2 linked regions of the Caenorhabditis elegans genome follow. The protein of the gene in region 2 interacts with the protein of the main gene of each other region in a pairwise test. Each region holds a gene or a part of one and is shown on either strand. Other genes may lie near its edges. The genes, in order: cyb-2.1 and puf-3.

Evidence for each region.
Region 1: the proteins of puf-3 (region 2) and cyb-2.1 interact in a two-hybrid assay, tested with the Caenorhabditis elegans proteins (3 studies listed by BioGRID).

The regions. Positions count from the first base shown.
Region 1 is NC_003282.8:10,983,790-10,987,931, reverse strand, and holds cyb-2.1 (G2/mitotic-specific cyclin-B), read right to left. Parts: upstream 1,948-4,142; 5' UTR 1,931-1,947; coding exon 1,593-1,930; intron 1,505-1,592; coding exon 1,118-1,504; intron 1,074-1,117; coding exon 971-1,073; intron 929-970; coding exon 803-928; 3' UTR 506-802; downstream 1-505. Other genes in the region: Y43E12A.3 (BTB domain-containing protein), read right to left, coding at 1-24; Y43E12A.2 (3CxxC-type domain-containing protein), read right to left, coding at 3,350-3,472.
Region 2 is NC_003282.8:13,510,223-13,513,822, forward strand, and holds puf-3 (PUM-HD domain-containing protein), read right to left. Parts: upstream 1,941-3,600; 5' UTR 1,924-1,940; coding exon 1,595-1,923; intron 1,523-1,594; coding exon 713-1,522; intron 666-712; coding exon 296-665; 3' UTR 85-295; downstream 1-84. Other genes in the region: afmd-2 (Alpha/beta hydrolase fold-3 domain-containing protein), read left to right, coding at 1-51, 2,319-2,578, 3,075-3,173; m7GpppN-mRNA hydrolase dcap-2, read right to left, coding at 3,397-3,492.

The sequences.
Region 1 (4,142 bases), 2.5 Mb from region 2:
AAAAGTCCCCGGTGCCTCCACCATTGATACCTGAAAATGTACTCAAAATAATTATTAATTAATACTTATTTATGAGGAGGAAATAAAATGAGATGTTTATAAAACTTATTGATCGGAACTCTCAGTCAGTGAAATTTTGAACTTGATATGATTTTAAGAAACGCTGAATAGTTTTATTAGTTTTTTGAAAACTACCAAGCACATAAAAATTCAGCGTTTAAAAATGAAGACATCTTTTAAGTAAAAATTTTTTAAATCTGCGCAAGCACTCGAATTTTCAGGAAAAAAATGGAACGCACCAGGTGCTAAAAATAAATATGATGATAGTCCTCGCGGATTACACGAAGCATGGAAGAGGCTTTTAATGTGGCCGTCGGTTTTGAAAACGCGCGCTGTTCAAAAAATATTACTTTCCCAATTTTTTAATTTTTTAGAAAAAGGCAAATAAACTATTTAATGCAAGATTAGCTTGTATCTGGTTGTTTTAATAATGTTGTAAATTTCTACAATTTAGTACAAGATTTATGCTTATTTCATTTAACATTATTTAATAGCACATAGATTTCATCAGCAAGTTTTTGCTCATTCTAGTTAAAATATCAGATTTGGACAGGAGTGAAGACTAAATAAGTTAGTATGAGATAGATACAAAAGAAGGTGCGAAAAAGATTTGATACGATGTGTTAGAGATTTCGAAGATTGGGGAAATGGAACAGAAAAAGTACATGAATATAAGCCGAAGGTAAGTGCAATGGGGAAACAAGCAGAACACAGGAACGTATTGGGTGATGAAGTATAGTTCTCATTCCATTTCTGATGTTTCAGCTTCTGAAGCCTCAACGTTGCGCCCCATCCGGTGAATTTTCTCCAAGATTTCGTCGGTCATCAAGTAGGATACTCGTCCAAACTTGCTCGACTGGTACTTTTCCTGAAAACAAAACTGAGTAAACATTTTGTAAAAATATATTACTCTAATGGCGCAAAGCTTCTGATGTCTGAAGTTTTTATATGCGACTTGAGCGAGCAGAGCGATAGCATCATAAATATCTTGCTTGGAGGCTCCTAATTGTTTGCTGAAACAAATTCTTGTAAAATTTTCGAAAAAAATTGAATCTACCGAATCATCGATGCAGCAGTCTTCGGATTAATTCCATCAACGGTGATAACATTGAGAGTGATGATCATCGAAGCACTGGCAACGTGCGACCTTGGAACCGTAGACATGACCGAATCGAGCAATGCGAGTTCTCCGAGACACTTGGAGATATTGTGCACATAATAGAACGCTTCCTTATCGATTGGATTGACGTCATTCTCTGTGAGAGTTTTTGAAATACAGCGGAGGAAGACAAGCGAAGATGGGCAGGACAAGTCAAAGTTCAAGGCGTTGAGGATGGTCTGTTCCATAGCCATTATCTGCTTCTTGCTGAATGTGTTATCAGTGATCATCTCGTATTCGAGGATGTCTGGCAAGTAAATATCTTCGAATTTGGAGGCAACGAACCTGAAATCATTAATATTGCATAAAAACTATTGTTAATTTTCTGATCTACAAAAGATTATCTATAATTTTACAAAAAAAACGATCTTACAAAGCTGCAACACCGAGAAGCTGGAATTCCGCCTTGGAGACAATGTTCTTCACGATAATTCGATCCAGAACGAAAATCGTCAGGTGAAGCGTCTCAGGGGTGAGGTGGAAGCGAAGATGAACTTGGATAAGCCAGTCAACAAGGATGCGGCGCATCTTAGAATTAACATTTCCTCCATTTATGAAGCTGTCGTCAAGAACATATTTCTTCTCGTGATGAACAAGGTAGTTGTAAATGTCTTCAGCCATAGCGATACAATTCAACACTTCCTCCAGGTTTGTTCTTGGCCCAACGGCATTTTTCGTGGTTTTTCTAATGCTTGTAGTAACTCGCAACATTTTATCGAGACCTCCGGCTGAAAAAATTAGTCTTAAAAAAAGTATTATACAAAACTTTAGATAAAAATATATGAAGGAAGAATTAGTATTTAACAAAATATAGGCAAATTGCAACTATCAGGAAAAATAGATAAATTGGTTTTGAAACGCCAAAAATTTAGGAAAATGAAAAAGGAGCCACACACAAAAAACAGAATACAAATTGTGCTGCGCGCGCGCCAGAAAAAAAAACTTTTTTTCAGGTATGATGTGCAGGTGTGGTGGTTTACTGTAGCGGGTTAGAATTTCAAGTCTAGATTATCAATAAATTTAAAATGGACAGAACTTCTTCAAATTTTCATATTATTTTTTACAGTGTATAAGTCGCTGCTTTGAATTTCAAAAAAAAAAAGATGACAGTTTTCAATATTTCATAGCGACTCTGGCAGTTCACCAAAAATAGTGACTCTGGCAGTTCACTAAAAATAGTGACTCTGGCAGTTCACTAAAAATAGTGACTCTGGTTGTTCACCAAAAATTGTGACTCTGGCAGTTCACCAAACATAGTGACTCTGGCAGTTCACTAGCTCTAAAGTTTCCATTCTAGGTCCAATATTACAGTGCTTCGTTACAGTACTATTTTAGAAGGGGTAACGAGGAATTTTTTGGAAAAAAAATCGTAAAGAGAGTAACGAGGATTTTTTTTGAAAAAAATCTGTAAGGGGGGTAACGAGGAATTTTTTTGGAAAAAAAAATTGTAAGCGGGGGAACGAGGAAATTTTCGCGAAAAATAGTAGGGGGGGGGGGGGGTAACGAATTTTTTAATCTATGTGTTCCCAGAATAATTTACTCTCTGAGTTCACTAATAAATTTACTCTCTGGGTTCACTTAAAATTTTAAGAATATTTCAAATATATTTCAAATATATTTCAAATATATTTCAAATAGAAAAAAAAACAAGACTTCTAAGTGGGTGTGTTTAAGATTTCTATATAATTAAAGTTTTATTCTCAATACACTTTTATTACTCTCTTGAAACCTACACTTATTATTACAAGACCGGGGTGTGAATGGTGAAAAGAAAACAATTATAAAATTTTTACACAGACAAAGAGTATAGAGATGAAGAAGAAATAAAAGTGATCATCAAATATATAGAAAGAGTTTTTCAGGATGAATAAATTCAGAAATTTACAGAGTACCTGGAGACAGTTGAGAAAGTGGTCGGGCGGCATGGAAAGTGTGGGATGGGAAAGGGAAAATGGTTTAGGAACGACATGTACACACAAAATAGAAAAAGTGGAGAAGAATTGAAAGCTCTCTGATTTTCATAGAAATCTAGCAGAAATTTTGTGAAGAAAACAATATGATACAAATAGGATGGACAAATGGGTTCCTATATCGACTAGAGAATGTTATTTTGTTTCATTGTCAATAAAATCAATGACGACGTGATATCTCTTCGTGTTTCCGTGCTGGAGGTCTTCCGTGTCCAATTGGGGCTACTTTTGTGACATTTTGAGCCTTGATGAGACCAAGTGTCACTGCTTTTTCTACGGGCAACTGAAAAAAAAAAATAAAGTTGAATAATTTTTATAGAATTTTAAATGTAATTTCTCAGCTTTGGAAAATTAAAACCAGACATTCGTTCATGAATATTTCAAAAAATGTTCAGTTTTTTTCGAATTTACCGTTAAAGTTTTGGTAAATTTCCTAAATTTCAAAAAAAAACATTTACTTTTTGAGAGAAACGAGCACTGCTGGTTTTAACCTTACATTATTTGAATTCAAATACAAATAGTTAAAATATAAAAACAATTACATGTTGAATTTCAAAGTTAGGGATAACTAAAGATTGAGTAAATGCCACCTTTGGACTGTAACTAAAAACATAACAAAGTGAACAATTTGTGAATTATTGTAATATTATATTTGGTCAACGCTTCATAAATGATTGAATTAGAAAAGCAGTTAATCAAAACTAGCATGTTTGGGTTACTGTATGTGGTTGTTTAGTGAAAAAATGCCAAGATATGGGTGGGCCTGTTTGTTAATGTGTGAATTTTGTTAACCATAAATTTATTTTAAACGATAGAGGTAATGCCGAACATACTGCACAAACGTCTTCGGATTGAGATTAAAATTTACGCTTTAACTAGCTTAATGGAATCATCAGGACACTCAACAGTTGGCAGAGCACTTCAAGTTTACTAGATGTTTTCCTTATCACGAG
Region 2 (3,600 bases):
AGAAAATTGTGATTGGAGGACACTCAGTCGGAGCACACCTCGCATTTCAAGGTAATAATTAAACAAAATATTGCAATTAAATCTGGAAGTTTGTAAATTCTTTATTCACAGAATTTATATCAATTATTGTGCAAAACGGGGGCCGGGGTCTTCATATAATATAGAAGAGGTTGCAATACTCTTTCTACAATTTTCTAGCAATATAATAATAAAAATAATAATAGTATACACGTGAGTTGGGTGATGGTGGGGGTTAGGATTCAAATGGAAATGAATAAAAATTGCCTATGTGTATCTAGTACAAGGACATTGATTGGAGCGCTTCGATAATCTTCTTGCCCGACGAAAATCTTTCGAGGCGGTGGGCGTTTCGCATCACTCGTCCGTGAATCTTCTCGAGCCACATGCCGTACATCTCCGATTGCTTTTGATCTCGAGCATTCTGACCGAGAACACAAGTCTGGATCATCTGCTGAACAACGTAGTTTCCATATTGATGGAAGAGCAGAATGTCGAGAGCATCACGATTTGTATCCGGATGTGGAATATATCCTTCGAAGATCTCGTTCATCATCTCGGCAACGAGGCGATATGGAGCACATTCAAACGCCACTTCGACCACGTGGCTAGCGTACTTCTCCTGTGACATTGAGAGCAAATTTTGCCTGGAAATGGAAAAATACATTTGAAAATTTGACTATATAAAACATACAGAAGGCACTGCTCAATGATGATATCTCTGTAGACAGCCAACGCATCTCCACACTTGATAACGTGTTGTACCACGTAGTTCGCAAACTCGTTGGAAGCCAGCTGGGTGCAGTTACGAGTGACTCCAGCCATCAAACTGCGAAGAAGAATGACACGATGCTGGTAGCACTGAGCATATTGATCAGTCGACAAAGTTTCGACGGTCGATTGAATGACACGGCACCCATATTTGTCCTGGCAAACGTGGATGAGATTGTCGTCGTCGGCGAAGAAATCCACGAGGAAAGTCCACGAAGAGACTGGAAGCGTCTTGACAATCTTCTGAATCACGTGGTTTCCGTTTTGATCGATGCTGAGACGGACGAGGTGCGTGTCACGGAGCTCCAACGACAAACGAGTCGCAAGATGAACATCAAGCTTCTGAATAGCCAGTTGAATGACGCGGCACGCACTCTTGTCAAGGCAGAGATTGTACAAATCAGTAGCCAAGTGCTCCGTAAGAATCTCCTGCTCCTCAGTGTTCGAGCACTCCAAGACACGTTGCACAAAGAAGTTGCCAAACATGTTAGAGCAGAGCGACAAGAAGATGGCACGATCCTCGACCAGTTTACGGAAGAGTTTTTGGTGGACGTCGTTGTCGTTCTCCGTTGGATAATGCTCCTGAAGGAATCGGCATCCATTCTTATCGGTGGCAAATTCCACGAGAGCATCGTTGGCGAGCACATCCTGAAGAGTGACCGAGTCCGAGACATTTCCCTCGCCGTCGCCAGCCCAGATTGGAAGTGTGCATTTGTGGCTGCGGGTGGTCGAGCTGAAAATTTGATTATTTTTTTGAAAGTTTTAAAAATTGAGGCTCCAAGTCACTGGAAAACTCTAAACTCACTTCAAAGACTTCGAGAACGAGGCGTTGTTCTCCAAATCGATAAGTCTAACGGCCTGTTGAGGATAACGAGCCGGAGTCGTCATCGGTGTAGAAGTGCGCCATTTGGAGAATTGTCCTCCAAATCCTTGACGATTCGGAGCCCAAGCGCTCTGTGGTGTCGGTGAGGAGCTCCGAAATCCCATCGAAGAGTCCACTTTCCGATTCGGCGTCCAAATGTTGGTGGAGCTGTTGGCGTTGAAGCAACCACCGAATGTGCCACGAGCCTCCGTCGCCGTTGGCGGGCTCTCGTAGTAGCGACCGAGGTTAGAGGAACCGGTGTTTTGACTCATATTGGTACGGAGACTACCTGAAAATTTATTTTTTTGGAAGACATCGACGTTTGAATGGACGGAATAAGTGGAAAATACGATAGAATTAATGAAAATAAGAGAGCAAAATTTTGGGACGCGTCCTCGAAGACAAAAAATGAACAAAAATGAAGAAATCAGGAACCAAAATGCAAAAAATCCCGCGTTAAAATAAAAAATCCAAAATTTCCCGCGCAAAAACGAAATAAAGTACTGTAGAATTTAAAGGCGCATGTCGACGCTGCGCCGATGGGTCTCGCCACGATTGATAAATTTTGCATACCAGGAATAAAATTTATGAAAAGTTCTTGTATTCTCACTCTGTGCAAAAAAATAGCGCTTTTTTTTTGTTAAATCAAAGAAAAAAATATTTCCAGCTGTAACACGGATCCATGACCCCCGAATCAGTGGTGCCTACCTCAGCGCGGGCATCTACAAAATTCAAGAACTGACTTCCACGACTTATGGTCACGATCTTGGGTTGACTTCAGAAGAAGCAGAAACTTGTAGTTGTGATTATGAGCTTATGAAGCATGTCCGGTTCCCGGTGTTAATCGCATGTTGCAGACGGGAATCCCCAAAGTTGTACCAACAAAATCAGGATTTTTCTAGTCAAGTTGCAAATGCTCAGTACAAGGTTTGAGCTATTTTGGACCGAAAAAAAAACCCCGTTTTAGGGTCTTGGCACGATTTTTAAAATATTTTTTTAACGAGTTTCACGCCAAAACCACGTTACCTGGTCTCGACACGATAGATTTTTGCTAAATGAGAACAGATATATGCGCCTTTAAAGATTACTGTAGATTTAAAAATATATTTATTTTATTTGGAAAACTCATATATTACGATAAAAACACATTCTTAAGAAAATAGATTATTTAAAATTCCGCAAAAACCAAATTTCAAAAGTACAGTACTCTTTAAAGGCGCACACCTTTTCATATTCGTCGTGTCGAGACCATGTATGGTATTTTTGACGCAAACCCCATAAAATCTCACGTCTGGATGATAAAACACGAGGAAACAACAAAAATCTATGAAATTTCGAGAAAATTACAGTAGTCTTTTTTTAAAGGCGCACGTATTTTCGCAATCAGCAAAAATTTGTCGCGTCGAGACCATTTTTGTTTCAGGAATACGAAAATGAAGATCATTTCACAATCCTGACAGAGCTCACAAAAGAGGAGAGCATCGTGTACGCCGACTTCTTCAACTTTCTTTATTCAATTTAATTGTACATTTTTTTTTCCAAAAAATAAAAATCAGATTTCTTGTTGGGTGTGGGAAACCTACAAATCTACATGAAAACCTTAAAATATAGCAAATTGTTTAACAAGGTTTCATGACTAAAATGAAGTAAATAGATAGGAAACATGTGGGTTTAGGAGCAAAAAAAAAAAGATACAGACAAGAGTGAATATATATTGAAATTACAAGTATTTTATTATATTTTATTTATGGTAATTGTGGTCCAGTGCCAGAAACGGGAGATTTTGTAGAGAATTGTTGCATCCAAAATGACAATGGTCCAACCACATAATCAATGTCAAGCTGGAATTTTTTTAGTTGTAAAATCTATAATATTTTTGTAAAAAAAAGTACTGTCTAATTTAAAAAAAAAACGAGCGTCGTTTTGCAAACCCGCGGCGCGCTTTTTCA